Oryctolagus cuniculus: one gene and its partner. The protein of the gene in region 2 interacts with the protein of the main gene of each other region in a pairwise test. Links are inferred from orthologs where the notes say so. Each region holds a gene or a part of one and is shown on either strand. Other genes may lie near its edges.

Region 1 (3,648 bases), on a different chromosome or scaffold from region 2:
AGAGATGATGTGTTGGTTTAATGAAGGTAGTCTCTTTTTTTTTTTTTTTTTTTTAAAGACAGAGTTACAGAGAGAGATAGACACACACACACACACTGAGAGGTCTTCCAATCACTGGTTCATTCCCCAAATGACGGCAACAGCCAGAGCTGAGCTGATCCAAAGCCAGGAGCTTCTTCCAGGTCTCCCATGTGGGTGTAGGGGCCCAAGAACTTGGGCCATCTTACACTGCTTTCCCAGGTGCATTAGCAGGGAGCTGAATCAGAAATGGAGCAGCTGGAACTCAAACCAGCGCCCATATGGGATTGGGATGCCAGTACTGCTTATTTTTTTTTTTTTAACTATTTATTTGAAAAGCTGAGTTGCAGAGAGAGGAAGAGACAGAGACAGAGATATCAATCTTCCATCTGTTGATTCACTCCTCAAATGGTCTAGCCATGGCTAGACCAAGCCAAAGCCTAGAGCTTTTACTGGGTCTCCCACATGGGTGGCAGGGGTCCAAGTATTTGGGCCATCTTTCTCTGCTTTCTCAGGCCATTAGCAGAGAGCTGCCTTCCCCAGGCACATTAACAGAAAGCTGGGTTACAAATGGAATAGCTGCTACTCAATCCAGCACTCTGATGTGGGGTCTCAGTGTTGTGAGGGGCAGCTTAACCCAGTGTACCATAATGCCTGCCCCTTCCCATTAGTTTCATGCTGTATTTGCTTTTTATCACAGTGACCACCAAAAATCCAGTTTCATAGATATGATGTCATTGAAAGGAATGTGTTATGATCTAATATTGTAATTATGAACTACCCTGAGCTATTAAAAATATCCCTTTGCACCCCCATAAGTTGGCTGTGTTACTCAGGATGCCTCAGCATATGTTTAACGGTTTACACTCTACTTGACTGTTTGCTCTGACATTCTGGTGTAGGTTTTTTGACCTGCATCTCAGTTTCCCAATCACTAGCCTTCAGTGTTAAAGTGAACATGTCAGAGTACTCTCTGACGAAGGAAGTGTGGTTGATACTCCTTCATTTTTGTAACACTGGTTTTACCCTTGGAAATACCATTTTTCAGATTGGCTCGACATCGGAAAATAGTGGAACCTGAAGTAGTAGGAGAAAGTGACTCAGAAGTAGAAGGAGATGCTTGGCGCATGGAAAGAGAAGACAGCAGTGAAGAAGAGGAGGAGGAAATAGATGATGAGGTATGTTTAGGAAAATGGGAAGTTTTTCTGGGTGCATGAAAAAATTGAAGCCAGTGCTCATTTCCTAAGCTCCTGTTGGCACAATATTGCTCTTTTTTGCAAAATTCTGATAATGTTCCCTGGTGGGTGGGGATAGGATTGAAAATAATAGAATGATGCTAAGGTGCATTGGTTCATATCAGAATTTGTTGAGCTTGATGAGGGAAAAATAAGAAATCCTTTTAAGAGCATTTGACCGGCTAGCTTAGATGTATGATTTTACAGGAAATAGAGCGGCGCCGTGGCATGATGCGTCAGCGAGCACAGGAGCGGAAAAACGAAGAGATGGAAGTCATGGAGGTGGAAGATGAGGGACGTTCCGGGGAGGAGTCTGAATCAGAGTCTGAGTATGAAGAGTACACAGATAGCGAAGACGAGATGGAGCCTCGCCTTAAGCCAGTCTTCATTCGAAAGTAAGTATTTCACAAACCTGGTCCAAATCCACTAGTTACACCAGGATTAAAGCCTCTTTTCTATCCAATGATCTTCTGAAATCTAAGCACTAAGTGGAAGCATTTTGCCCAGTGTTATAACCCTTGCTAAAGAATATCTTGGCATTAGCAGAGAGCCTGTTTGTTTTCACATCTCTCTTTCCCGTTAAAGAGCACATATCTGCTCAAGGTTATCAATTTTAAGCAGAAAATTAAGCAGGAAGAGTAAACTCATATTCCTTTTTTAATGACTAGAAATCCTATCAGTTACAGTCCAGCAGATTCTTTGCTATCCAGGCAGTCCTCAAAGATGAATGAACTTTGTCTAAAGACCTGAGATATCTGCCACTTTTGGTTCTTCACAAGTAACAGAGTCAAAGATTGTTTGGTGTTGTGTAATGGGCCTAGATCTAAGGGAACAAAGAGCTCTACTCTAAGGACTTGGGCAACTAATAGGACCTCTGTAATGCAGGAAGGACCGAGTGACAGTTCAAGAACGGGAGGCTGAAGCATTGAAGCAGAAGGAGCTGGAGCAGGAAGCAAAGCGCATGGCTGAGGAGAGGCGCAAATACACACTCAAGGTACTGGGGTATGGTTGCAAGCATCGAGAGAGAGCAAATAATGTAATTAGGTTTGTCTGAGTAGTCGTAACTATTCTGTCTGTCCAGATTGTAGAGGAGGAGACCAAGAAAGAGCTGGAGGAGAACAAGCGGTCCCTGGCTGCACTGGATGCCCTGAACACAGATGACGAAAATGATGAGGAAGAATATGAGGCATGGAAAGTCCGGGAGCTAAAAAGAATCAAGAGGGACAGAGAAGATCGAGAAGCGTGAGTGATAGGATGGGCCTAAAGTTAATGCCACTAATGGGACAGGTTTCTGATAGCATCCACCATGAGTTTCATTCTAGTTTTCTTGAGGGATCTTATGGCTGAAGTCAGTCTCCCATAAGTAGAATATGAGTTTCCTTTATTAGAGTGAAATCAGAGAGGAGAAACATACTTTGTTCACCATCATAGAGTGCCAGCCAATGCTCTTGCCTTTTTTTTTTTTTTTTTTTCTCTCAATTTGAAAGGCAAAGAGTTGGAGACAGAGAGAAACAGAGGGCTTCCATCCACTGTTTGACTCCCCAAATGGCCACAGTGGCAGGAGCCAGGAACCAGGAGCTTCTTCCAGGTCTCCTGCACAAGTGCAGAGGCATAAGGACTTGGGCCATCTTCTGCTTTTCCAAGCCATAGCACGTAGAGCTGGATCGGAAGTGGAGCAGCCAGGACTCCAACTGGTGCCCATATGGAATGCCAGCACTGCAAGCGGTGGCTTTACCCGCTACACCACAGTGCCGGCCCCTAATGCTCCCTTTTGTTTCCTGTTAAGACACACACAGTCAATGTTGTTATCTCTGGTTGTGTAGCAACCCAACCCAAAATTTAAGAAGCTTGAAACACAGTTTATTATTTCTCAGTTTTGGAAGTTAGCTGACCAGTTCCTTTACTGGGAGTAACTGGGCCAAAAAGTCTAAAAGGGTTTCACTCCCAAGTCTTGTAGATGATGTTGGCAGTAAGCTGGAATACCTCATTTCTTGAGTAGCTACCTTTCCTAGCAATCTCAGAGCAGCATTACAAGAGGGCAGGGGTGGATGTTAGCAAGGCCTCCTGAGGCTTAAGTTCCAGAACTCATAAATACTTCTGCCAAATCTGGACTTGACATCTGGTCACAGCAAGTCACAGGCCATCCTAGTTCAAGGGAGTAGATAAATAGACTCCACCTGTAGATTGGAGGAACAGCAAAGTTACACAGAAAAGGGGCATGCATACTGTGAGTGGGAGGATTTACAGCACTTAAATATCTACCTCACTCACTCTTTTTTTTTTTTTTTTTTTTTTGACAGGCAGAGTTAGAGAGAGACAGAGAGTTATAGACAGTGAGAGAGAGACAGAGAGAAAGGTCTTCCTTCCGTTGGTTCACTCCCCTAATGGCTGCCAC
Region 2 (4,182 bases):
AGATGGAAAGAGAAACAACTGGAAAAAGTTGCAGACCTCCAAAGCCCACAGAAAATTCTTAGGAAAGTTTTAATACATAAAAGTGGAAAGAGAAACATATCTTGATCTTTGGAGCAGAGGGATTTTTTTTTCTAAAGGAAGTCTGCACAGGGGAATGATTGCAGTTGAGATTTCTCATCTCAATGCCACTCATCTGGCCTTCTCACTTATTAGGTGACCCAATGCACTGATTGAGAAACACTTTTCTAGTCTTCTCTGTACATTGCTCAATGATTTACACAATTTTTTGAGAAACCTGAAATACACTAATTAGACACCACTCTGTTACCAAAATTTCATGCACTGACAAGTAAATGGATTTGAACTCTAAACTTTTGAATATCCAGAATGAACATGTAACACCTCATATTTTGATGACACAGTGCTGCAAGTCAAAATATTCAGCTTAAATAAGCAGGCACTTCATAAACAGAAAGCCTCATTTTCCCCACTGAGAGGAACAAAATGTAATTGCTAATCAGAAATAGAGCACCCCCTTAACCACCAGTCACATTCCATGACCTAACACCTAGGAAGTTACCAAGATCCATAAAGACAGATCCACATGAGACATGTTCTGGGGGTACCACCAGAACAGCCATTTGAAACATATTCTGTGCCTCAGCTCTATCTTCACCGTTTCCATGGCTCTATGTCCCTACTGAAAAACAGAACTTGAGTTCTAAGGGATAAAATGAAAAGATAGCATTCCCTCCTCTTTCCCAAGCCAATGAGGTTTGCTGAGTGATAAAGATATACTCTTGTAGTTTCCATTCTCAACTGCTGTAGTGTCAGCAGATTTTATGGGGGGAGGGATGAGGGAATGGACAAGCTCACTACCCAGAGCAGTATCTGGATACAATTATGAGACTCCACTGGCACTACTTTAGGACCAGCAAGTTGGAGCAAGTTACCCTGCTCTTAGAGAAGGGATTACCTAAACCAATTTCATCTAAATCTATTTGCACTGTTCCGATACACTCAAGAAGCAACCAAGTCACTTTGAATTGCAGCAGCACTCTCTGGAGGAGGCCTTGTAAGGTACAACAGGCTAGATGGGAATTCTAGTAGTCACAAAAGTAAATAGGAGGGACAGAAGTAGCCCTTCCTGTACCTAGCCGCTATCTCTACCCTGCACAGCCCCTCCCTGTACTAATCCTGGAGCTGCAGGTATGGAGTTAGGCCTGGAACAAGCAGGAGGCCAAAATGCTGTGCCAAGTCTGGGGTCTCAGCCCAGTCAGCAAAGGACTATTCACAATAAAGGTGCTTAATAAATATTGTTGACTCATTGCTGCTAGCTGCTAATGATGCTTATAGAGCTATGCCTAAATTACTGTCAGTTTTCATTAGAAATTAACTAACTGTCACCCAAGTAGGCTAAAAAGGGGCAAGATTAGATTTTCAAAGGAGTCTGACTCAAATTGTGAGGTTAGAGTACATTAGATATGATTTAAGCACTTATATGATTTATACCATTATCTGTGTGCCAAATTGTATGTAAGTTTTTATTCAATTGTACACACATTGGGGAGAAACAGACTTAGGGTGTAAGTATAACAAATTTGGCTTCCAAAGGGTTAACAATGGCAAATTAAGGTTTCCCATAAACTAGGGTTCTTACTAATGCCCAATCCACTAACCCAATAAAAGGTAAATGAAGTGCTTTCTTTGAAAAGTATAATGCTGAGGATTTATAGAACTCTTTCATCTTCAAAGGACCAAGGCAAAACTCACAATACCCAACACACAATATTATGCCTTTTACAGAAGTGCACCAACTATGAAAGAAAGGTCATAGGCATGTGCTAAGGTCATACAGCCAAGGCAACATCAGATTTGTCATGAACTCCCTGATCTTCAGGTTTCCTAGACCTCACAAAAATCAATTTGTGAGGAACAATTAGGAGAAATCTAATTCACATTATGTGTCGGCATTAAAATAATTCATTGGGCAGGAATAAATAAAAATAGCAACTGTTAGGCCTTCAGGGCAGTGATGAGTGGAGAGGAGGTAGAAAGGGGAGAATGTGTGGAAGCGGGAATAACCATCTGGATAGAATGAAATTGCCCCCCAAAACGAAAAAAAAGTAGGGGAGGGGACCTCCCTGTTCAACAACCCCCTCTATTGGGAAAATTGCCACAGAACTGATCGGAGTACTGGGAGCAAACAGAAAAAGGGTTAAAGGCAGCCCTTATAACCCAACTTGAGATCAGACTAAGCAACCCACGCACAGTACTTGTCTATTACACAATTTCCAATACACTGTATTCCTTTAAAAGGGATCCTCCTTAAAGACACACAACCATCGCCATCCACCAGCCCCACATTCTGAAATCCTCCAAAGGGCAAAGTGGTTGAAAAAGCAAGAGGCTGCGTGGCTGGGGAGTGCACAGATTGATGGGGACAGGGTGAGCACGGAAGTGCCGGAAGGGCCATGGGGGGAGATCTCGATGGGGCAGAAATTTAGGTATTTTCGCCATAGGAAGAAGGTGAGTGATCCTGAAGGTGGTATGGAAGTGCGGAAGAAAGAGGGAAAGTGCTGAGCCCTACCACCCTAGGATCCCAATTTCCTGCTCTACAAGAAACGCCTCCGAAAAATAATGTGCTGCACACGAAGTGCTAACTAACCGAAACCAGCAATGTTTCTGTAAATCGACTCCGCCGTTATTTACTTAATACTTACGAGCAAGGAATGAAAAAAAAAAAAAAACACACACCTCTCCCTGATTCAGTCGCAGTCAGTCCTGTGGACATACGTTAAGTTTCCCCTCTCCCCCACACAGCTGCTTTCACAGCTAGGCCAGAAATAAGAAGCCACCCAGACGTGGAGGATCGCTCCGGCGGCAGAAAAGGGATTAAGTTTCGCCTGGCCTCCCCGCCGGCAGGGTGTCCGCGGCATCGCCCGCTGGCTGCTGGGCCAGCCCCGCCAGACACGGGCGCCTCCCGGGCCGACTAGGCTGCCGACCGCGGAAGCGTGGGAAGGCAGTAGTGCCCTTTTCCCAGACTCGCGCCCAGGCACCGAGGGAACGGCTCGACTGCCAGCGCCCAGCCCGGCGCGGCTCCGCTGGAGGCCTCGGGCCGCCCCCGCACCGCACCCTGGAGTACAAACTCCGTCCGGGGGAGGGGAGGAGGGGTGGGCGGCAGCGGCAGCAGCCCGTGCCCCAACGGCGGACCGGGGAGCCAGAGCCGGACCGGGATCCCGCCGCCGCTGCCTCCAGCCTCACGGGCCCCGTCACTCCACCCTGCCGAGCCCCGGAGCCCTCGGCCAGCGCCGGGCCCGGCGGCACCTGAAGAGCGGCCGCAGCCAGGGCCGAGACCTGAGTGGGCGAGGACACTAGACCCTTAGGGCCGCGGCGAGGGGGCGCGTTTTACCCATAGCGTTCCCAGGTGCCAGCCATCTCCTCCGCGCGCCAGAGAGCGCCGGGCGCTCGCTTGCCTCCGCAGCGAGCTGACTCGGGCTCCAGCGCAAGCTCCCGGGCCGCCGTCGCTGCCGCCGCCACCACCACTCTAGGCCGCCGCCCGCCTTCGCTGCCGCCTTCGCTGCTGCTGCCGCTGCCGCCGCCGCCGCCGCCGCCGCGCAGCAGCCAGGATCCAGCAGCTCGCGCGGCCCGCAGGGGACGGCCCGGTTGTCGCCTCGCTATCGCGGCCGGCTCTCCCCGGCTGAACTTAAAGAGTTTTCACTCCTCAGTCCAGGGGCAGCACCATGACACCACGCTAGCACCACATTGTCATTTCCGCCGCCGCAGAGGAAAAAAAAAAAAGGCAATCCTTTCGCAAAGGGGGGTGGGGGTGGAGAGGGGCAAACAGGGCTGGGGCTAACACCTCAAGGGAGCACTGGGAAGGGCCCCGGCAGAAGGGACCCTGGGCCACCTTCCAGGGCTCACCTTCCGCCACCCCCGCCACTCCCAGCTCCCCTAGCCCCTCCTCTGGAGGCGCATTACATGTTTTCTCCCCTGGCAGGAGTGACCAGAGAAACCTGAGCAGGCAAAGGCAGCCGGTGGGTGGGGTTCGGGTTACTACTGTACCTACCAGCTGATTCCAGCAGCCTTTTCTCCAGCGCCCTGGCATCTTGAAGGAAGGCACACGGAGAGGGGCCTGAGCGGGCGTGTGTGTGTGTGTGTGTGTGTGAGAGAGAGAGAGAG

What was found.
Region 1: the proteins of MID2 (region 2) and MFAP1 interact in binary tests that used the Homo sapiens proteins (3 or more experiments, as listed by UniProt). The two-hybrid records come from large-scale screens. The link is inferred for Oryctolagus cuniculus from reciprocal best matches to the Homo sapiens genes MID2 and MFAP1.

What each region holds. Positions count from the first base shown.
Region 1 is NC_091443.1:66,694,790-66,698,437, reverse strand, and holds part of MFAP1 (microfibrillar-associated protein 1), read left to right. Parts: intron 1-1,066; coding exon 1,067-1,196; intron 1,197-1,460; coding exon 1,461-1,648; intron 1,649-2,138; coding exon 2,139-2,247; intron 2,248-2,334; coding exon 2,335-2,495; intron 2,496-3,648. UniProt on the Homo sapiens protein: Involved in pre-mRNA splicing as a component of the spliceosome.
Region 2 is NC_091453.1:85,475,216-85,479,397, forward strand, and holds the start of MID2 (probable E3 ubiquitin-protein ligase MID2), read right to left. Parts: upstream 2,888-4,182; 5' UTR 2,795-2,887; coding exon 2,758-2,794; intron 1-2,757. UniProt on the Homo sapiens protein: E3 ubiquitin ligase that plays a role in microtubule stabilization. Mediates the 'Lys-48'-linked polyubiquitination of LRRK2 to drive its localization to microtubules and its proteasomal degradation in neurons.